Linked DNA regions of Diceros bicornis minor. The main gene of each other region encodes a partner of the protein of the gene in region 2 in a complex. Links are inferred from orthologs where the notes say so. Each region holds a gene or a part of one and is shown on either strand. Other genes may lie near its edges.

The links.
Region 1: ING5 (region 2) and KAT7 share a complex: the UniProt entries of both Homo sapiens proteins name them as parts of the HBO1 complex. The link is inferred for Diceros bicornis minor from reciprocal best matches to the Homo sapiens genes ING5 and KAT7.
Region 3: ING5 (region 2) and KAT6A share a complex: the UniProt entries of both Homo sapiens proteins name them as parts of the MOZ/MORF complex. The link is inferred for Diceros bicornis minor from reciprocal best matches to the Homo sapiens genes ING5 and KAT6A.

Annotation. Positions count from the first base shown.
Region 1 is NC_080757.1:36,435,385-36,442,913, reverse strand, and holds the start of KAT7 (histone acetyltransferase KAT7), read left to right. Parts: upstream 1-4,372; 5' UTR 4,373-4,542; coding exon 4,543-4,557; intron 4,558-7,083; coding exon 7,084-7,231; intron 7,232-7,529. UniProt on the Homo sapiens protein: Catalytic subunit of histone acetyltransferase HBO1 complexes, which specifically mediate acetylation of histone H3 at 'Lys-14' (H3K14ac), thereby regulating various processes, such as gene transcription, protein ubiquitination, immune regulation, stem cell pluripotent and self-renewal maintenance and embryonic development.
Region 2 is NC_080776.1:28,457,032-28,464,466, reverse strand, and holds the start of ING5 (inhibitor of growth protein 5), read right to left. Parts: upstream 3,148-7,435; 5' UTR 3,138-3,147; coding exon 3,101-3,137; intron 442-3,100; coding exon 370-441; intron 1-369. UniProt on the Homo sapiens protein: Component of the HBO1 complex, which specifically mediates acetylation of histone H3 at 'Lys-14' (H3K14ac) and, to a lower extent, acetylation of histone H4. Component of the MOZ/MORF complex which has a histone H3 acetyltransferase activity.
Region 3 is NC_080768.1:39,182,146-39,190,367, forward strand, and holds the start of KAT6A (histone acetyltransferase KAT6A), read right to left. Parts: upstream 3,220-8,222; 5' UTR 3,124-3,219; intron 1,041-3,123; exon of another isoform or gene 839-1,040; intron 593-838; 5' UTR 276-592; coding exon 1-275. UniProt on the Homo sapiens protein: Histone acetyltransferase that acetylates lysine residues in histone H3 and histone H4 (in vitro). Component of the MOZ/MORF complex which has a histone H3 acetyltransferase activity. May act as a transcriptional coactivator for RUNX1 and RUNX2.

The DNA.
Region 1 (7,529 bases), on a different chromosome or scaffold from region 2:
GCCTAAGCTTTTACCCGGAAGTTATGAGATTGGCCTGGCTACACTAGCATTGTTTTAAAAAGGTCAAGGCACACTTCCCCACCTTACAGGACAGGTATCTGGACACAGAGGAAACTGCTGTCCCTAATCCCTCCTAGGGACATCACTGGTCAAAAAGAGGCTTAGAGGAGAGAGGATGGCAGGTTCTGTGCACGTCTTTCCTAACTGAGCCAACACCTGGCGGTGGCCATCCCATTTACTGAGCCCCCCCCCCTTTTTTTTGAGGAAGCTTAGCCCTGAGCTAACATCTGTTGCAAATCTTCCCCTCTCTCTCTCTTTTTAAATCCCCCAACGCCCCAGTACATAGTTGTATATCCTAGTTGTAGGTCCTGCTAGTTCTTCTATGTGGGATGCCGCCTCAGCAAGGCTTGATGAGCGGTGAGTAGGTCCGCGCCCAGGATCCAAACTGGTGAACTCCGGGCCGCCAAAGTGGAACACGCGAACTAACTGCTGAGCCACCAGGCTGCCCCGCTACTGAGCCCTTTTAGATGCTAGGCAGCAAGGGAGAAGCTGGAGATGGTGTGGTCAGCCAGGCAAGGCTCCCAACCTCTAGGAGCTCTCAGGTCTTTGAAGCAAACAACAAAAAACTACACTTTGTATTTGAATATCTATCATTTTGCTGGCAAGGGGAGCATTTTAAAGGAAATGGAGGCATCTTTTAGTGAGCTTACAAATGTAACTGAGAAGACAAGATACAAATACAAGAAAGAAAATGCACAAGGACACACACAAAAGATTGCTCCCACTACCCCTCCCCTGTTCAGTTCCTCCTCAGCTCTGGGTGAGGTTATTACTGCAGTGTTCTAACCCATCTCCCTGCCACTCTGATCAGTCCCCCTCACAGCTTCCAGAAAGAAATCTCTAAAGTGCAAGTCCGATCATGGGACTCCTCTGCTTAAAGTCCCTCAGAGATTCCTCATCACCTCCAGCCCAGGCTCCTTAGCAGGGTATTCAAGTCTCAGCATGAACTGGTTCCCTAAACCATTCCTGTCTCTTCTTTTGGCAACCACCCGAACTCCACCATGCCATTAGTCACCCCCCATACACGATGCCGCTCCACATCTGTATGTGCTGTTCCCTTTGCGTGGAAAGCCCCTATCCTCCTTGTCCACCAGCAAACTTATTTGTCCTATGAAATTCCACTCTTATTTCACCTCTTCTATGAATCCTTCCCTAAACCTTCCAGACAAAACACTCCACTTCCTCCTCTGTATCACTTCTGAACCTTGCTCTTCCTTCTGTTTTCCCATTAATACTTTACAGCGTTTTACAACAACAAGCTTACTGGCCTGGGGAAACACGATGTTTTGTGCATACTAGTGTCACTCGATGCCTGGTATATAAGGCCTGGCTAATCACTCTGTGTCTCTTGAGCTGAAGTGAGGTTGAACACACAAAAGCAAACCACCATTGAGACTATGTAAAGATATATTCACAAACATTAAGATGTTATAGCCATGGCCAGGGGGATTGAAATTATAAATATCAATAACAACGGCCATTTACTGAACATTTACTCTGTCAGGAACTGTGCTAAGCGCTTTACAATGATCATCGCCTTTAATCCTGACAACAACACTGTGAGGGGGCTATTAGTGTCTCCACTTCACATATGAGAAAACTGAGGCCCAGATAAATTGAAAAACACATCCAAGAGCAATGCAGATAAAAAGTGGCAGAGCTGAAATTCAAATCGAGATCTGACATCAAAGCCCTGTACTTGACACTATTAGAGCTGATGAGTGAAATAAATAAGAGTTACGTTCCTATTATTCATTTGGGAAGGAGAGAGGGGAGCAGAACATCTACCAAATTATACAAGGAAAAGTATAAATACGGCAGGAAGTACAAAATAACATATCATTATGCCCTACTACCTTAGAAAGAATAAATCAGGAAAGATTTTCTGAAGAAAGTAAATTTTAACGAAGGTTGGGAGATGCACCCAGGCAGGAAGAAAAGCCTGTGTGAAAGCGTCAAGGCGGGAAGAACAGCGGAGCTACCTATGTGAAGTCTGGCGGGTGAGGATGGGCAGGGGGGCAACTGGTCAAAGGCTTTGACACCAACATCAATTTCTGCTTCCAGAGCTAATTGTGTTACGATGAATATGACACCCAAAGTAAAGGTTATGTTTGGTTCAAAAAAGAGAAAGGAATGGGGCCGGCCCGGTGGCATAGCAGTTAAATTCATGTGTTGTGCTTCAGCGGCCTGGGGTTTGCGGGTTCTGATCCCAGGCACAGACCTACTCACCGCTCAACTAAACCATGCTGAGGCAGCATCCCACATAGAAAAACTAGAAGGACCTACAACTACGTAGTGGGGCTTTGGGGAGAAAAAAAAAGGAGGAAGACTGGCAACAGATGTTAGCTCAGGGCCAATCTTGCTCAAAAAAAAGAAGAAAGAAAAAAGCTTTTAGGATTCCTCCTTCCCCATTCTAAATATACCTAGCTGTTTTACTTTCATCTTAAGTACACATTTTCCTTATGATCATATTTCTTTCCTATTGGTGTTAGTTTTTTCATCTTTCCGCCAGAGTGTACACTTTCCAAGGATAAGAACCACGTCTAAAAGAAACTGTAAACTCTTTTAGTGTTAGCTGCAGTGTTTGAAAATCCAATGTAAGAGATTAACCAATGTTGAACATTTGTAATGCTGGTATGTGTATGATGAATGGTTAAGTCAGGATAAGATCTTATTCTAAAATACTAATTTCCAGGGAGGGATACTTCACCATCTTTGAGTACTATACATTCAGAGACTGTGAACCCGTAAACATATTCTGATTAACAAGCAAGCATTTACTGTGGTTAGGGCATGGTCTGAGCACTATTAAGGATGGTATGAAAGAACTCATGTATGCTCTTAACACAAGAGCTCCTTCCCACTAGTCAGGGGGCCAGAACATCCAAGAGTGACCTCAGGAATACACCAGTAAGTGCAAAATAACAGTAATAGTGTGAAATTAAATGCTTAAGTGCTGAACGAATACAAAAGAAGAAATGTGAGCCCTTGTCAAATAAGTTCTTATGTGCAGTTCTACCTGAGTAGGTTATTCGAAGCTATTTATACTAAACACTAAAAGCTAAATACTAAATACTAAAAGCTGCTTGTGTTAACACCGGCCCAGAATATCCCCAAGGAGAGTGCTGGCGATGAGTCTGGAACTTTAACTCTTCAGAGTCCTCTGTTTAGCATATCAATCAGATGTTTACCTTCTGCTGCTTTGTTCTTTAGTTCTGCTCCAGGGGGAAATCTCCATCTTAGCGGGCCTCAGGTGAATCTGGGGTCCAGGATCCTAACTTAATGACTGGATCCTAACTTAATGACTGAGCTTGCCTGGATTCCACCCAGTCACTTTTGGCCAAGCTTTGGTCCTCTCAAGGCTTTTCCTGCAGCGAGACAAAATCCTCAACGCCTGCTCTCCACTTCCCAGCTTTTGCTTATGGCTCTTCTTCCAGTCTTGTTTCCTTGACCAACTTCTCCTTCCTAGGTCCTCTCAAAGCAGGCCCTATCCATGCCTGTTTTTTTTTTTTTTTTTTTTTTTTAGCTCCAGCTTCACTAAAAATACTCCTTCCTCTTCTTCCCTCCCCCAACTCCTAGTTCAAGCATCTGGATTTCCCGAGGTCACTTGGGCTAAACGGAGTTCAATGCTTCTCTAACTCTGGTACAACACCCACCCCCACCCCCGCGGGCCACCCAGGGCTCTCAAACCCATACCGCTTCTGGAGAAGGATCTTGCCTCCTCCTGCAACGTGAAAGACTAACTTACTCGCTGTTCGCTAATGGCAAGGACAATGTCTCCTCTACCAGGCAAGAAACTTCCTGATGATGGACGCTACCCCTTCGTTCCTTTTACGAGCCCCCATTCCCACCACTTTGAGACACAGGCCAGCTCTTAAAATACAGTTTCTTGAGCAAAGTATCCCTTCCCAAGTTTGAGTTTATATGCTAAACGGAGACGTCCTTTAGCCAATTAGGCAACGAATGGGTTAAATCTCAGCAACCTGATGGATTCTGGGGGTTTCCTTTCTCGACTTCAGAATTAAAACGACCGGGAAGGGGACTTTTGCCCAAGATAAAGATGAGAACCGTTAGCTTCAACTATCAGGCTTCTGCCCCAAACAAGAACGGCTACCCACGCCCACAAAGAGAGCCATTCCCCTAACTAAAAATGGCTGGCCCGGGTTTCTTCTATCGGTGCCACTTTTTGCCCCATTCCAAAATGGCGCTCACTGGCCTCAATGGAAGGAACTAAACCTCCCAGCACCCTCTCTAGCCAGTAACGTCAGGTGACGCGAGCCCCAACCGGAAGTGAAGGAAAAAGCGCCTCAGCCCGCGGCGCCTGCGCGGAAGGGTTTAGACGCTGTGAAGCAGGAGGCACTTGGGATCGTCCGCAGGATTGGGACTGCTACAGAGGCCGCCACGGAGCCCGCCGGAGCCACCGTTCCTACTGCTGCTGCCGCCGCTGCCCGAATCGGAACCGTCGGGCCGCAGCCGCCGGCAATGCCGCGAAGGAAGGTGAGAGGAACAGGACGGGAGGGATGGCGGGTTTCTAAGGACGGTCGATTGAGCAACGTGACGCAGTTAGCCACGCCTCACACTGGCTGGGCTCCAACTTCCCGCTCCCCGGAACCTAGCTCAGCAACCCTCTTTTCTGTCGGTACCCAACGGAAAAATGTGGGCCCGACCCTGGCCTCGGCCTATGCCTGCAACTATTCCCGCCCTCTGCTTGCCTGGCTCGGAGGCGTTCTTCTTGTTAATTGGTCGCTGCAACGTGTGGAAGAACATTGATTGGCTGATGACACCGCCCATTTGGGCCCAACGGTCACCTCCCCGCGTGCGGGGGCAGTGTCTGGCCCGGCCCTACCGCGCTCGGATTGGCTGTGGAGAACGATCCCTCCTCTCTTAATTGGCTGCCCTTGGCAATCTGTCCCGTGGGGGCGCGGTTTAGCGGGACCCCGATTGGTGGCGCGAATCCCGGCCCTTCCGGCTGGTGAAGCTAATCGGTGGAGAGGCGGGGTTTCGGAGCATCCTTCCTTTCCGGGCGGGGGGTACAACAAAGCGGAGGAGTGGGTGGTAGAGAACCAGCGCCCACTCCCAGGGGATCCCACTCTGGCCTGTTGCCTTTAAGCCATAATTTTTCCTTATTTGCCTAGTTGGACAGCGCCTAGAAAATGCAGTTCGTAAAATCAGAAACTTTCTAGAATTAGATGAGACTTACGAGATCACCTAGGGACACCCCCATCCCTTCTCTTTGCAGCTGAACAGAGGCCTAATGGATTACCTCAAGCCGCTCAATTAGGCAATGGCAGAGCCAGGACTACAGAACAAATCTAATTCAGTTCGACGAATGTTTATTGACTACTTGCTACGTGCTGGTTGCTGGGGATTCAAAAATTAATTCGATTTGATCCCTGGCTTAAGGAAATCACAGTCTGATGGAGAAAACAGACATATAAATGGCTGTAGAAGGATCTAGTAAATTTTCTATTTGGAAGTATATATACAAAGCGTTATGGGAGGGAAGTGAGGGAGCAATTGTCTGCTCTGGAGTAAGATGGGAAGTAGATTGGTGAAAGCCTGAGAGAAGAGCTGAGTTCCAGAGTCAGGCCTGGAAGGGATGGTCAGAGATGATCAGGGATTCAAATGTCTGGGTAATTGGACTAGACCACCTTTAAGACGTCTCCTTCATCCTATCAACTATCTGTGACTTTTTCTGGGGCCTCCACTCATTTCTGGGCAGATTACTCTTGCCATTTGGAAAGCTGGGTGGTATTCTCGCTCATTTTTGCAGAAATCTTTCTCTTCCCAGAGGTTTTCAAAAAAAATATTTACACTTTTTAATGTTTCTTAAAATGACTGCATCAGTAGGTGGTATTTATATTAAGGCTTACCAAATGCAGGAATAGTATTGGTGCCTTGGAATAGGTCCATAGTCCCCTTTCTGCAATTCCCAAATACAAAGAGCTCTTGAAGATGTAAGTTTTTTTAGTAATTTATTTGGTGGCAAAACCTGTTCTAAACTGTCCTGAGGCTACTTATAATTTTTGTGTGTCTCATTTAGTGTGATTGCTTTTATATCTTGCTGCAGAAATGTTAATAAGCTTGAGTTAATAAGTTAAGTAAGGGGGTGTTATTTGAAGGCTATATGCAAAGTGTTCCCTTTGAAAAATCTAAAAAATTATGAATTCTAAACACAACTGGCCCTAAGTGTTTTTGGATAAAGAATAGGGGACTTGTAGTTTGAAGCTTTGTATTGTTTTTTTAGCAAATACTCTTCCTATTCTGGTTTAGTAAAGAGTATAGTGTTAATGCTCAATTGATAAAAGTTATCTTTATGGCTAAATATGTCTCAGGAGGCTAATAATTAACAAATAATTATTAATTAAAAAGATAATAAAAGAACCCTCTGTTTTTGAATACCTATGAGTCTTCATGTGTAAGCTGCCTTTTTTTTTTTTTAAAGCATTCATATGGAGAAACTTAAAGGTAGATAACATAAGAAAGAATTTTACTCTTTTTCTGCTTAAGTTCTTTTGTGATCAGAATTGTGGACCGTGATATTTTGAGTTAGTGTATGGTTTTTTAAAATGTGATAGCTGTTTATGGAGATTTTGAACAAAAGCTACCCTAAAGTTAAATGGAGTCTAGCATTAACATTTGTGTCACTACCTTGGACTTTCTCTAAGTGCATGGTTATGCCAGCCAGACTATTTTGAGTTAGATAATTTTATTTCCAGTTTGTGGTACTGACCTTCAAATGGACTTGTTTCAGAGTTAGTGATAATATAGTAAGAATTAATTCTCTTTCTTCTAGTGATAATATAGTAAGAATTAATTCTCTTTCTTCATTTATTCAATAAAGGGGCATTATTTGTAGGTTTCTCCATTTAAGTGCTCTCAATAAAGGGAAGTTGGCTGTGGAGTCCTTTCTTAGGTTTGAACTTGGTGTTTTCAGCATCATGGTTGGTTTTATTTCCAGTGTTAATACAAACCCACAGAGTAAATGCTTCTGTGCTAATGTCTGGATCTATGGTGTTACAGAGGAATGCAGGCAGTAGTTCAGATGGAACCGAAGATTCCGATTTTTCTACAGATCTTGAGCACACAGATAGTTCAGAGAGCGATGGCACATCCCGGCGATCTGCCCGAGTCACCCGCTCCTCAGCCCGGCTGAGCCAGAGTTCCCAAGGTAAAAGCCTTCCTTCTTTTTGACTGTGCCTCACATCAACTCCCTGGTCATCATATCACTGTGCTAGTCAATGTGGAAACTGGTCTGTTGCCTGGTTGTAGATGACAGAATCTGGTAAAATGCAGAGTGACTGCAGAAGTGTCAGGTCTTTCAAAATGGTTCTTTTGGGGGTGCTGTCCAATTTGTAGACCCAAAGGAACCAAGTCTGTGTGACACAATTATGTCTTGAGTCATTTAATTTTTTTTAGATTACGCTTTTCCTATCAGTAAAATGGGAATGTTATCTTTTCAGTTTCTG
Region 2 (7,435 bases):
GGAGAAGGAACTCTTCATTTTCCATAACAACTATGTAGATAAAGTCTAAAACTAAAGAAAAATAAAATAAGAAATAGCAGCAAAAACATACATTTAGAAATAGGGAGTTAAACTTCAAGAGATCAGAAAGCGCTATCTATTTAAATTATGCACACGTAGTTTGGAAATAGAAAATCTTTTAAAGGAAAGAAAAGGTAATGAACATTTTGACTGCAAAGAGGGGATGATGCTTATAAAGATGTGACGTGAAGATGTGTAATAATCCAAGGAACTAAGTTTGATCTTAAAGTATCAACTCTCTCTCTAAGGCACCACCCAATGCCTAAAGCCTAGGCTAAGGCCCCACTGCACCAGCTCCCCTGAACCCACCTTCTGTCCTCTGGTCCAGCTCTCGCATCAGCTGGAAGTTCCTCTGAAGTTCACAGGGAAGGTTCTCGATACCTGAAACACGGAGACATGTACTTCTCAGTAGTAGGACAAAATCTGCCTCCCAGGCTTTTTACCTAAAGTCTACAAATAAGAAGCCTGCTTTGTCTTCTGTTTCTGTTAGAGTTTGGAGAAGAGAACGACTAATGTATCTTTTCTCAGGGACAGGTACCAAACACTGAGAAGAGGGTGACACACTTCAGAAGTGGTCAGAAGCTCAAGAAGTTAGAGGCAGGGGCCAGCCCTATGGCGTAACGGTTAAGTCTGCACGCTCTGCTGCTGGCGGCCCGGGTTCGGATCCCGGGAGTGCACCAATGCACTGCTTATCAGGCCATGCTGTGGCGGCGTCCCATATAAAGTGGAGGAAGATGGGCACAGACGTTAGCCCAGAGCCAGTTTCCTCAGCAAAAAGAGGAGGATTGGCACAGATGTTAGCTCACGGCTGACCTTCCTCACATAAAAAAAAAAAAAAAAAGTTAGAGGCAAACTTAGAAAGGAGCTGTGAGCAGAGGCAGAGGTAGGGAAGATGGCCCGGGTGACTCCTCCACCCCAGACCCCAAGGCATCCCCCTCTGCAGATACCCCGCCACACTGAGCAAGTTCAAACCCTGGGGTCCTCCTTGATCTGCCCTCCACTTGACTCTGATATCCAGTGCATCAGGCAGTGCAGACCAGCGCGGTCTGGCAGAACTTTATGCAAGGATGGAAATGCTCTCTCTCTGAGCTGCCTGATAGAGCGGGCACTGGCTACATGAGGCTACTAAGCACCAAAACAGGGCTAGGACGACTGAGGGACTAAACTTTCAATTTTACTCAAGTTTAACTAATATGCAGTTGAAGAGACTATGCCTGACAGCACAGGTCAACCCCATGCTGCTTTCCTGTCTGCGCTGCCATCCTTCTAGTCCAGGCCAACCTCTCCACCCGCCTGCACTGCCGTGACAAGCCATGCCCCCGACTGGGCTCCAGCGTCCAGTCCTGGCCCCCCTCCACTCTCCCCAGCTGCCAGTGATCATTTTAAGAGCTAATCTAACCTTACAAAGCTGCCGCTTAAAGCCCCAGTGCTTCCCAGATCACCCAGACAGTGGCACAAACTCCCTCCAAAGCCTCCAGGCTCCCCAGGCCCTCCCTGCTCTGTCCCACCCAGGGCTCTGCAGGACAGTGCCATCCCCGCGCTCTCACGACCTGCTGGTCTTCACGGCCCTTAACTTTCTGCAAACTTTTAAAAACTCCATCTGCCCCATCTGATAGTAAGTTCCAGGAAAATGGGGATCGTGTTTGCTTTCCTGGCACACAGCAGGTGCTCAAGGAGGGAGCAGGTGCCTCCATTCCCGAGCCTTCATACAGGTGGTCCGACCACAACAAAACTCACGTTCCTCAAACCCTCCTTATGGAGTGCACCAGGCAGGTATTGGGACAGAGAAGGGCAAGCCACAATGCTCCCCAGCAGACACGTGGGTGCAGGCCTCTCTGGTGACAACGGTGTGGAAGAGCCTCTCCTCCACCGAGAGCAGAACAAATGGCCAGGACTGGACAACCCCTTTGGGGAGGGCTGGATTCCCCACTGTCTCCAGCAGAGCGGGGCTCATGCCCTGGTCTCGGCAGCCTCAGGCGGGGGTCCCAGGCAGCCAGGCCTGAGTGGCTGTGAATACACCCAGTGCAGCACAGCGCTCCAGAGCCACCCAACCCAACCCCCACCCAAGGGCACCCCCAGCGGGAGAGACCCGCAGGGTTCAAACGCAGGCTCCCCACTCCAGGGCCTGCGGGCTGCATTTTCCTCTCTGTAGAAATTCCGGAAAGAACCATCTGCTCAGGAGTTATCAGGAGGGTCCAACCTGTGCTCCCTGTAGACAAAGACGGAAGGACGCCTGCACCGAGAGCTTCAAGGACGTGGGCCCTGAACCTTAACCAGCCTTGTAGGTACCCAGAGAGACAGGCACCCTGGGAGACCCTCCGCCAGCACCGCCTCCCCATCTTGCAGACACACAAACTGAAGCTCGCTCTAAGGAAGCCACTCCCAGGTCACAGTACGAGCAGGCACAGAACTCTGGAGAGCCAGAGCCGGACCCAGAGTCCATGGGGGTTGGGACTAGACCACCGCGCGGGCCAGTTGGGTGGGGGCGGAGCCTAGCCGGAGAGGGCGGGACCTAGCGAGGGAGGGCAGAGGCGAGGCCGAGGCCTGGGCCTACGGTGGGGAGGGCGGAGTCGACGAGGAGCGCGGGCCAGCCAGGAGGGGCGGGGCCTAGCCCATGATGGGGCGGGGCCTGACCGGGGCCCTAGCCAATGATGGGGCGGGGGAATGGAGAGGCGGGGCCGGCAGGGAGGGGTGGAGCCCACTCTCGGAGGGGAGGGGCGGGGCTGGCAGGGCTGGGGGCAGGGGCTTACCCGGGGGGCGGGGCCTGGTCACACCGACCCCGCCCCGCCCCGCCGGCCCCGCCCCGCCGTGACGCACCTGGAATTGGCGGGGCCGTGACGACGGGCCCCCGCGCCGCGCCCCCCACGCGCACCACCCTCGCGGCCCCGCCCCGCGCGCGTCCCCGTCGCCCCCGCCGCCGTCAACCGCCCCGCCGCCCCCACGAGCCCCACGGTCCCCGCGCTTGGTCTGGCACGCAGGGGTGTGCGGCGGGGAGGGCCGCGCGCGGGCGGCGGGCCCGGGGCGCGCGGGAGGCGCTTACTGTCCAGGTAGTGCTCCAAGTACATGGCGGTCGCCATCTTCGTCCGCGGCCGCGCTCTGGGTCTGCGCGGGCGGGCGGTGCCGCGAGGGGTGGAGGGCGGTGCCGGCATGCTCACTATTCATGAGTCTCGCGCGCTGATTGGCCGATGGGGGCGGGGACGCCGGCTGGGCACGCCCCCTGGCTTCCGGTCGGCGGGATCCGCGCGGCGCCGCGCGGGAGCTGAGCAGGAGGGGCTCGGCGGGGCAGTGTGAGAGCGAGGTCGGGGCGCCGCAGCCTCGGACGCGCTTCCTCCGCCCGCTCGGCGGGACCCGCGCTGACACGTGGCGCCGGGGGCCGGCCACCCGCTCCCCCCCGGAGGTCCGCGCCTGTGTCCGGGAGTTCTGGGCAGGGTTGGGCTCAGAGCGTGTGCCTGCGAGGTGGACGAACGCGGTCGCGGGACGAGAGGGTCCGCGAGAGCCCTCGGATGCGCGCAGGAGACTGGACGGGCAGCGGAGTCGAGGGTCAGCCGCTGCAGGCCTTCTGTCTTCCCCGGCCAGCGCGGGCCCACGGGGAAGGGGCTCCGCGTGCCTCCGCCCGTACAGGGTGCCGAGGGACCGCTGTTCCCCAGACCAGAGGAGCCCGGGCCCCAGAACCCACCCATCCTTGACTCCGAGATTCAAGGTTGTTGGTCACACCAGCGGCACAGCCTGACGAATGGAGCACTAGTTCCATTATTGAAGATGCGCGTTTCGAGATATTCCCCGCTTCTTGAACTCTTCCCGAAGCCCCAAATATTAAAAAATGGAAACCTATTCATTGTTTTTGCCAATCTTACGTTCATTATAATAATTCAAACTATTCCGGAACTTATAGTTTCCCCACTTCCCGGAATACAGGACTCTCTTGTTCACCTTTGAATCCATGTTAGCAGTTTGGGTGCATCCTTTCTGGCCCCATTGAATGCTTGATGAGAAAAAGCACACAGGCAGTGTACATGATTGCACACTACCCACCTTTTTTATTGTTTTAAGTGGCTAAATTATTTTTTTAATTAATAGACTATTTTTTAGAGCAGTTTTAGGTTTATAGAAAAACAGAAGAAAATGAGAGTTCCTAGATACTCCCTCCACACACACACACACAGTTTACCCTATTATAAATATTTTGCATTGGTGTCATACATTTATTACAATTGATGAAATGATACGTTGTTATTAACTAAAGTCTATAGTTTACATTAGGGTTCACTCTGTGTTACACAGTTCTATAGGTTTTGACAAATGTATAAACACATGTATCCACTCACACAGAATAGCCTCTCTGCCCTAAAAATCCCCTGTGCTCCCCACCTATTCATCCCTTTCCTTGCCCCCCATAGTGTCCCAGCAGACACTATGTTTTTCCCGTCTATGGTTTTGCCTTTTCCAGAATGTCACATAGTTGGAATCATACAGTATATAGCCTTTTCCAATTGGCTTCTTTCACTTAGTAATATGCATTCTAAGTTTCCTCCATGCCTTTTTGTGGGTTGATAGCTCATTTTTTCTTAACGCTGAATAATATTCCATTGTCTGGATGTACCACAGTTTATCCATTCACCTATTGAATTGCTTCCAAGTTTGGGCAATTATGAATAGAGCTACTGTAATAATTTGTGCACAGGTGTTTCACAGTTTTCAGTTCCTTTGGGTAAATACCAAGAAGTGTGATTTGCTGGATCATGCTGTAAGATCACGTTTAGTTTGGTAAGAAACCGCCAAACTGCCTTCCAGAGTCGCTGTACCATTTTGCATTCCCATCAGCGATGAATGATGTTGCTCCACATCCTCATCAGCATTTGGTATCAATCTTCCGGATTTTGGCCATTCTAATAGGTGTGTAGAGGTACCTCATTTTTTTTTAATTTGCATTTCTCTAGTGACGTACAGTGTTGAGCACCTTTTCACGTGCACATTTGCCATCTGTATGTCTTTAGTGAGGTGTCTGTCCAAATCTTTTGCCCATTTTTTAATTGGGCTGTTGATTTTCTTATTGGTGAGTCACACTGTCCACCTTTCTCCTATTTTCATTTCTAACTTGATACTCTTCACCAACATCTAGTCATGCTTTACTCACTTCTATTTCACCCTGTTTACTAGGTATATTTCACTGTGTTCATGTACCATACTTTAACAAACTCCTTATAGATGCACAATCTTTTGATTGTTTCCAATTTTCCATTACCATAAATAATGCTCTGGTGAACATTTGTTCATTTAGCTGTTTGTATGTCTGTTCCGGTTATTTATTGCTGCATAATAAACTTCCTGAAAACTTAGTGGTTTAAAAGAACCATTTTATTATAGCTCACAACTTTTATGAGTCAGGCATTTCAGGAGGGCTCAGATGGGTGATTCTTTTGTTCTATGTAATACAATAGAGATCACTGGGGTGGCTGGAGGCTGGGTTCAACTGGCACCATGGACCAGAGTGCCTACATGTAGCCTCTCCACCATAGGGATCCCAGGTAGTAGTCCTTCTTACATGGCCACTCAGGGCTTCTGGAGAGTTCTGGGAGGCCTCAGTGGAAGCTGCAAGACTCTTGTGACCTCACCTCAGTTGTCCCAAGACATCACCTCACTACATTCTATCGGTCAAACAAGTCGTTGGGGCCCAGATTTGAAGGGTGGGGAATTAGACTCCACTTGTCAATAGGCAGAGTACAAGGACTGTGGCCATCTTTAATTGACCACTTGTCTGGTTTGTTCTTTTGGATAAACTTTTAGAGATGGAATTGCTGGCTCAAAGAGCATCGAATATTCTAAGTGCTGACATTTCTAAATGAATTGCCCAAGGGGAAGGTTATACCAACTGACACCCACCTGAGTATGTTTCCACACTTTTGTCAACCCTAGATTTTGTCAGGGTTTTTACTTTTGCAAACTTGATAGAAAAAAAGAAATAACCAAAAAAAAACCAACCTCAGTGTTTTAATTTGTATTTCTGTGATTTTAAGTGGGGCTAAACATGTTTTTCCATTATTCATTGACTATTTGTAGTTCTTCTATCATTTTCTTTATGTCCTTTACCCATTATCTGTGGGGAAATTGGTCTTCATGCCTTTCACCTAAAAAAAATTCTTGGGGCCGGCCCTGTGGCTTAGCGGTTAAGTATGCGTGCTCCGCTGCTGGCAGCCCGAGTTCGGATCCCGGGTGTGCACCGATGCACCGCTTGTCAGGCCAGGCTGAGGCAGTGTCCCACATAGAGCAACTAGAAGGATGTGCAACTATGACATACAACTATCTACTAGGGCTTTGGGGAAAAAAAAAAAGGAGGAGGATTGGCAATAGATGTTAGCTCTGAGCTGATGTTCCTCAGCAAAAAGAGGAGGATTGGCATGGATGTTAGATCAGGGCTGATCTTCCTCACAAAAATAAAAAATTAAAAAAAAAAGTCTTTATTATTAAGAGGCATGGCCTTCACATATCAGATATTGGAAATAACTTCTTCCAGAGAGCAATGTGTCTTCTTTCATTCACATAAGAAAAGTAATAGATTCTCTTACAGAGACCCTGTTTTAGAACCTACCAAAGTGAGAGGTGAGTCCCTTACTATTTCTTTTTATTGCTATATACTTTAGAGCAGGGTTTCTCAACCTCAGAGCTATTGACATTTTGGGCCAATAACTCTTTGCTGTGGGGCGCTGTCCTGTGCCATGTAGGATGTTTAACAGCATGCCTGGCCTCTCCCCACTAGATGCTGTTAGCACCCCCACACCAAGTTGTGACAATCCAAATGTCCCCCAGTTGAGAACCAGCACTTTAGGGAAAGGCTAAACTACTCTAACAAAGAAACTCAACCAAAATCCAGTGGCTTAGAACAGAGAGAATTGTATTTCTTATGTAACAGTCCCATTGTGAACAGTCCAGGGGGTGGGCAGCCATGCTCCATGGGGTCACTCAGGAACCCAGATTCCCTCTAGCACAGTGTCTGCCCCTAGAGGGCCTCGTCATTGTCCTCCTAGTCAAGGCTGGGTTGCGGGGGGTGGGAGGCAGAGGGAGTGTTCAGTCTGAAGGAGCACACGCCACTTCTGCTCACTTTTCATTGGCGGTAACTTAGTCACCTGGCCACGCCTAACAGAAAGGAGGGCTGAGAAAAGGAGTCCAGCAGGGCAGTGATGTGCCCAGCAGACTCTCTTCTGGAAGCAGATGAGTGCTATGGACTGAATATCCCTGCAAAATTCATAGGTTGAATCCCTAATCCCCAATGTGACTGTATTTGGAGTAGTTAAGAGGAAAAGACACCAGAGATCTCTCTCTCCCCACACTTGTGCTGGGGAAAGGCCATGTGAGGACACAGTGAGAACTGTATGATTCC
Region 3 (8,222 bases), on a different chromosome or scaffold from region 2:
TCCAATTTTCCATGGTTTCGAGGTTTAGGAAGTGCTATTCGCCCAGGATTATCAGGATCTTTATAGGAATTGAGTCCTTTGTTTGAGACTTTTAAAATTGTTCCATCTTTAACACTCAACTCCAATTGTTCTAAAACAGTTTTGCGATCCAAGCCATGGGAAGAAGACACTGCATTACATATCCTTTCCTCTGAAGGACGCTGTTTCTGCTTCTTCACTTTTTTGATGGCCTCCAAAATCCACTCCGTATACAGCGGGTTAGCGAGTTTTACCATGGTGAAGGATTCTGTATATCCATAGAGTCGTTATCCCTTATCCTGATGCTGAGTAAGTTTTACACCATGGAAAACAACATTCTCGGAGGCTGGGAACCAGTTAACCATAGCATACAAGTTTTCTGGCCTGAGTCCTTCCTTCTTTCACAAAATAGAGTGCCTCCCCACTTTTACTTTAGAAACCAAAACAACCTGTTATTTGAAATATCTTCAAACTTCCCAATAAATTTCTCAATAGCACCACACATGGGTCTCTTCATAAAGTTGTAAAAACTCAAGAACATCTCATTCCCAGCAGAAAAATGTGTATCTTATGCCTGAAAAACAATTAAAACAAGATCAGTTTTCTATCAAGGCCCATTTTGTAAATAAGCATTAACTGAAACATCCTAATCTTTTAAAGCAATCAAATACCAAGTGTTTACTGAGCACCTGTAGGAGTTTTAACACGTTTCTATCAACATTCCAAAACAATCATGTATGTAAACCACTGGAATAAAAAAGAAAAGAAAAAAAAAAAGATGAATAATTAGGATACAATGAGGAAACAAGATGAGACATACCATGAATGACCTTAGGCTACAACTAACCAGAGGGGTGCTGCTATTCTGTACTCCACAATCTCTGCTCACCAGTCTATGAATTGAAACTCTTCCTTGACATCTTTCCCCAAGAAACTATTCAGCACTTCAACAAATATCTGGATTAGCAGAAAGAATCCTGCAATGAAAGTAAGAGTGAATCTTTCATCTTCCAAAATTCCAGACATTGAGACTGGATAAAAACAGTCAACAAGATAGCAGAAAACCACTGAGAAAATTTTAACTATTTCATATATTAACAGAAACAACAAAGACAATTACACAGACCAAGTTCATATTTTAAGAATTTATTACTTTAAACATTCCAAATGGAAAGAAAAATAATATTGGAAATAGTCAAGTGTGAAAAGTGCTTAAAGAATTTTAAAATAATCCAATTTCCGTCAAATTTTAACAATTAAATGCTGATAGCTTTTCCTAAACCAAACTAAAATACCATTGACCAATAGACTGGAGGGAGTAACAACTGTCACAGTGTTCACAACCAATCTACAGAGAGAGAAACAAGAAATGAGAAAGGCCCAGAATCACTGCGTTCAAGTGCACACACTACATATCAAGTGTACAGTACAGAAAAAAAAAATGTATTGCCTGTTTACAGGTCTAAAGAGGAGACTATCTCATAAAAATTCAAGATTGCTGTCCTGAAATTAACATTAATGAATACGACAAAAACATAAATATATTGCCCCTCCAGGATCAAAGTCAATATCCTTCTTTAAGACAAAACCTGGCAGATACCAATCTTTTTAAAAATCACCAAAATAATAAATCCTGAATCTAAATAACTCCTGTGCCTCCAAATATAAATTTAACGAGTGTTTTTTAGAAGGTCTGCTCTTATTCTAAAGCATGTACATTACAACATAAACAGTGCTAGAAAAATGGCTCCCGCAGCAATTATTCTTAAGAGTGACATTAAAAACCAAAAAGAAAACTAACAGATACCAGGAAAGCGGTAGTATTAACTCTGATAGGAAAGAAAAGGCTGCAGTAAACACTCAAACCTGAGCCAAGATTTATTTTTAAATTAGCAGACTAAAAAGAAGCCCCCTGAGAGATCTATGCCTCATTTTGGTGAGAGCCTGGAGAGGACAGAAATCATCGTATTATTACTCCAAGAAAGTTTATTATGTAGAAATTAACGCTAAACTAAATTAAGCTACAACCCGAGTGTAAGAAGCTGGGAACGTCCTAACTGAGAAAGCTCGCAGGTAAAAGAATGAATGACAGTGGCTCATTGTCTCTCTGGCCCGGGCTGTCACCAGTCTCCAGGTCCTCAGAAAGTGAAGCGCCTGCAGACTTGAACTCTGCAAGTACCCCCGCGGCCTCAGAGAAAGCACTGCTTGCTTCCGACAGTCCTGCCCCGGTTTCCATTCCCCAGCCCCAAACACATCTTCGCGCTCTCTTTGTAAAGTGCGAGAAACTTTAAAAACTTGAAACGGCACAGCCCTGCGCTCGCCAACCGGGTGCTTCGCGGTTCCCATCAGACAGCACAGAGCCCGAGCACTAAGTTAACAATGAAATCACGTGCAAGAGTTCGGAGCCATGCATCTCCCACTCGCAGCTCCCCAAGCCCACGCTCCACCGAGGCCAGTCCAAAGGCGGCGTTCCGGGCGCCGGCGGCCGCGAGCCTGACAGGTCGGGCGGCCGCGTCCACTCGCCGACACTGACAGGCGGCCGCCGCCTCCCCTCCCGGCGCCGGGCTGTCAGCCCGACAGACACAACACCACACGTGCTGCCTCCTCCACACCACAACACCGCCAGCCTGTCACCCCCGCGGCCCCCGCGCGCGCCACAGCCGGAGAGCGAGCGCCCGAGCGCGGGCAGACGGGCCGGCCCGGGGCGGCGGGCGCAGGTGGGGCCGCGCGGTGGGCGCGCCCCGAGGGACAGCGGGCGCCGGCACAGCCCAGCCCGAGGCTCCGCGGCCTGGGCCGCGCGCCCAGCCGCCGGCTCCCCCAGGCTGGGCCCGGCCCGAGCGGCGGGGGCGCCGGGCCCGCGAGCGCCGGGCGGGCGGGCGGAGGCGCAGGGCCGCGGGGCGGGGGAGCCGGGCGCCGGCCGGGCGCGAGGGGGCGGCCGCGGCGCCCCAGCCCGAGGCCTGGCGCAGAGCAGCGGGAGGCGGCGCAGGCCGCGGCGGGGCCTGCAGCGGCCCGTCGACCCCGCGAGGCGGCGGAGCGGGCCCCGGGGCGGCTCAGCCTCGGGCTCGGCGGCCGAGGGCGGCCGGGGGTGGCCCCTCGGCTACTTACCGGAGGGAAAGAGAGCCGGGATCCCGGGGCCCCGGGCCGGACCGCGGAGATGCCCCAAACTGACACGGCCGCCATCTTGGAGACAGTGAGCTCCGGCCGGGGGGAGGGGAGGCGAGGCGGCGGAAGAGCCGCGGGGGGAGGGGAAGTGTCGCGAGGGAACGGCGGCCTGGGGGAGGGAGCGGGAACAGCCGGGAGGTAGGCGAGGGGGAGGCGGGAGGGGCAGTGCGAGAGGGGGGCGGCCGAGGAGCGGGAAGAGCTGGGCCGAGAGCCGGGAAAGGCCGGAGGGCGGGGGGGGGCAGGAGGGAAGAGCCAGCCGGGCGGGTCACGTGGGGCCGGTACAAAAGGCCAAAGCCAGAGTGGGAGGAGGACCTGGCGGGGCTGGAGGCCACCAGCTGGGGGCTCTTTCTCGCCTTTCTCACGCGGTTAGGTCAGGCGGGTACCCGGGAAAGAAGGAGACGGTGTGTCCCCATTACACAGCTGGGGACACTGAGGGCAGGCGCATGGGTGGGGTGGCTTCAGTGTGGCACGGAAATCCGGTAGCAGATGGGAGCTGAACTCTTGATGGCGTCTGTTTACAGTGAGCAGATCCTCCCTCCCCGCTTCTGTGCGCTCACCCCACTTCTACGGCGACTCTCCCGGAACCTGAGGCCGGGAGCTGTGGGCGAAGGGCCGGGAGGAAGTTGCCTCCCTTTATCATTCCCTTTCGGCTCGCACCATCACCCCGCACATCTCACCCTTTTTGTAAGCAAGAGTAGGTGTGATGAGGAGGGGGAAAGGGTAGAAACTTAGACACTCGTGTCAAGTCCTTTCTCCACAGTGACGTCATCCTCCCCACAACTGAGAGACTTGTTGGACCTTACCAGAGCCATGTTTATAGGAAACAGCACAGACTTGCACAAGGTCACACAGCTGTTTCGTGGCACACATCTGAGTTTAGAGCCTAGATCTGTCTTATTCCAAGGCCTGTCTTCTACTCATGCCCTATGCAGAATTGTCCTTAGCTGAATTTGTGCCTGAACCACGCACCAGCACTTTTTCATGACCTGTCTGTCCTCTACTGACTGCGTGTATGTTTCTTTGTCTTGTCTCTCATCTCATTAAACTCCTTGAGGCAGAGACTGAGTGATACTTTTTTTTTCTTGCATTCTCGGGAAAGGCAGTAAATGACAAATGAAAAGACATATCAAATACTTAACAATTTTGTGTGGAAGGTTTTCCTGCTACTGGACCTTTATCTGCTTTGTGCCCCCTGCGTAGACTGTCCTCCAGAACACCTTCTCAGTTTATCTCAGCTTTACCTTTCAGAAACCACCGTCTCTCCCATTGCCTTAACTTCAATGTTTACTTCCTTTTCTGAACTTTTGCAGTATTGACTATTTGCCCTGTTCATTTGGCACTTGGTGTGTAGCTCTTACATACATTTTATAAATGTATTCCCAGATGTATGCTCTTCTAGGGTGTCTCTTTGCGTCTCCAGTGGCATAGTGTTGTACAAGTAGTACAGACTCAAAAAAACGTGTCTAGTGAATGAATATTTTTAAGCCACTAAGAAACAGGTGGAATTTCCACCCCCAGCTCAAGCACTGCCTTGTTTACATCTTAACCTATACTTTCCTATCTCTACACCTTTTCTCCACTCTAATCCTTAGCTTTATTGTTCTATAATATAGACTGTCCAGACCATTCAATAACATAAAAACATATTTTCAGATGATGGTCTAGCCAACTCAATATCCTACCACTGACACTGATAACATAAGTGTGGTGTGGTGAGATTTACTGAATCACCCTTAATCACCTATTTCCAAGACCTGTCCCCAAATTAAGAGGGAAATTTGGGGATACAAGATAACTATTAGAAGGGATATTTTCCATCCTGCATAAATCAGACAGATGCATTCTCAGGTAAAATGGGAGCTATTTGTAATGGAAATACATCCAGAAAAAAAGGAGGGAGATTCTTTTAGAAAAATAAACAAGGGTTTTTTTTTTCCCCCTAAAGAGGACAGATAAAGTCATATTAATAGAAAGAAAATGAGTTCTTTGTGTGAGACTAGTGTGTGGTCTTCAGAAGAAGAATACAGAGATGAGTTGTGTTTGCTTTTGGATAATTTGGAAGAAAATTAGCTTCAGCCATTCCTGTGAAAAGACCAAAATGGGATCTAAACACACAGTAGCAAGAATTTAAAAGAATCTGCAACAACAAAGCACAGTTTAGCTTTTCAAACAGCTTCCATAGAGAGTGTTTGCCTTACATTTGCATAACTTAATGACACATTCAGGAGGTCTTCTCAAAATAAAAGGTTTGCAACAAAACCAGATTCAAGTCCTCATCTTTTGCATGTTAAAAAACAATCTGTAGCACTAAAAAGACAGTTTTTCTTGGTTCAAACTTTGCTCAAAGTTTGTCCCTGCAGGGCTGGCAGCTAAAAGTTATTTCCTCCTTCCACCTTTAGCTCTAGGAATCCCCGTCTTTTCAGTTGTACTTGGTAACTACATTTCATGCAGAGTCTAGCTAAGCCTAAAATTGGAAAGCTGCTCTATCCTTGTTTCAACAGGAAAAGTTTTTAGTCCATTTACATTTAATATGATTACTGCTGCATTTGAATTTATACCTACCATCTTACTATTTATTTCCTTTTGCCCACTTATTACCCCTTCCCCTTTTGTGTTTATTGCTGTCATGGATTTTAACTGTGCATGTATTTTAAGCCACACAAGATTTTATAATCATTGTTCTGTACAGTCGGTACTCATTATATCACCCTTTATGTTGCTTCTTGTTTGAATATGCATTTATGTGCTTCCAACTCAATTTTTTTCCTTCTGTTTGAATAATTCCTCTTTTCAGAGCAAGAGATCTGCTGGTGGCAAGTTCTCTCTATTTTTATTTGCCTAAAAACTTTATTTTATCCTTCATATTTTTGCTGGTTATAGCATTCTAGTTTGGCAAGTTTTTTCCAGCACTTTAAAGATGTCCTTCCATTGTCTTCTGGTTTCCATCGTTCCTTTGTTACTCCTTTGAAAAGTAATCTCTTTTTTCCTCTGGTTCCTTTTAGTATTTTTTTCTTTAGTTTTCAACAGTTTTCCTGTGATGCGTGTAGATGTGATTTTCTTTATATTTATCCCACCTGGGTTCGTGAGTAAGCTGAGTACCACTCATGGAGTCCCTTTTATTTGTAGCTTGATATCTTTTAGCTGTGTTGGAAAATTCTTGGCCGCTATCTCTTCTTATCTTTCTTTTCCTTTCAGAATTTCAATTGTACATATGCCAGAATTTTTCATTGGTTACCATCTGTATTTCCTATCATCTTTTTTGCCTCTTTCTTTGTGCATGAGTCTGTATATTTTCTATCTAGCTATGTAAGCTAAGTTCTTAAAACTATATATTGAGTTCTTAATATTGGTCATTGTATTTTTAACTGCTAGAATTTTCATATGGTTTTTTAAATAATAAAAGCCAGGGGCCAGCCCAGTGGCATGGTGGTGAAGTTTGTGCACTCTGCTTCAGCATCCCAGGGTTCACAGGTTCAGATCCTGGGTGCGGACCTATGCACTGCTTATCAAGCCATGCTGTGGCAGGCATCCCACGTATAAAGTAGAGGAAGATGGGCACCGATGTTAGCCCAGGCCAATCTTCCTCGGCAAAAAGAGGAGGATTGGCATCAGATGTTAGCTCAAGGCTGATCTTCCTCACACACACAAAAAAAAAATAATTGCACATTCATATTTGTAGCAGCGATATTCACAATAGCCAAGGAGTGGAAGCAAACCAAATGTCCATTGACAGATAAATGGATAAACAAAATGTGGTATATACATACAATGGAATATTATTCACCCTTAAAAATGAAGGAAATTCTGACACATGATACAACATGGATGAACCTTGAGAACATTTTGCTAAGTGAAATAAGCCAGTCATGAAAAAACCAAAAACTGTATGATACCACTTGTATGAAGTACCTCGAGTAGTCAAATTCATAGAGACAGAAAGTAGAATGGTGGTTGCCAGGGGCTGAGGGGAGGAGGAAATGGGAGTTATTGTTTAACGAGTACAGAGTTTCAGTCTTGCTAGATGAAAAGATTTTGAAGATGGATAGTGATGGTGGTTGCACAACAATGTCAATGTACTTAACATCACTAAACTATACATTTAAAAATGGTTAAGATGGTAAATTTTATGTGTATTTCACCACAATTTTAAAAAATAAAGCGTATTTCTATATACCATCAACAAACAATTGCAAGTGAAAATATAAAAAACAATACATTTTACAATAGCTTCAAAAATATGAAATATTTAGGGGTAAATCTGACAAACATGTGCAAGATATGTTCATCGATTACTACAAAATATTGCTGAGAGAAATTAAAGACGACCTAAGAAAGTGGGAAGCTATACCTTGTTCTTAGGTTGGAAATCTCAATATTGTTAAGATGTCAATTATTCCCAAATTGATTCATAGATTCAATGCAATCACGATTGTAATCCCAGCAGGATTCGTTTGTAGAAACTGACAAGCAGGTTCTGAAATTCTTATGGAAATACAAGAGATACAGAATTGTCATCAACTTTGAAAAAGAACAAAGTTGGAGGTGTTATACTGCTTGACTTGAAAACTTTCTGAGTTTTTTCATGCACAGCATATGAGTTAATAGCACTTCATGCCTATCATATTATCACATAGGATTGTTGTGAGAATTTTAAAAGTTACTATAGTTATGGCGCTAAAATAGTCTACATTATACAGAAAGCACACTATAATCTTAACTCTTATTAGTGTTATTATTGTAGTATTTTAATTTGCGTTTCCCTGATTACTAGTGAGATTGACCTTTTTTTCCATGTTTATTGCCATTTGAGTTTTCTGTGAAGTCTTGTTCTAGTCTTTTGCCTATTTTTCTATTGCATTTCTCATATCTTTGTTAGTTCTTTATATATTCCAAGTTCTGATACATGTCAGTTATATATGTTGCATATTATTTCCCCTATTTTTTAGCTTGTCATTTCACTTTTCTTAATGGTATCTTTTGGTGAACAGAAGCTCCTATTATTAATTTACATAAATGTATCAATCCTTTCTTTTATCATTTGA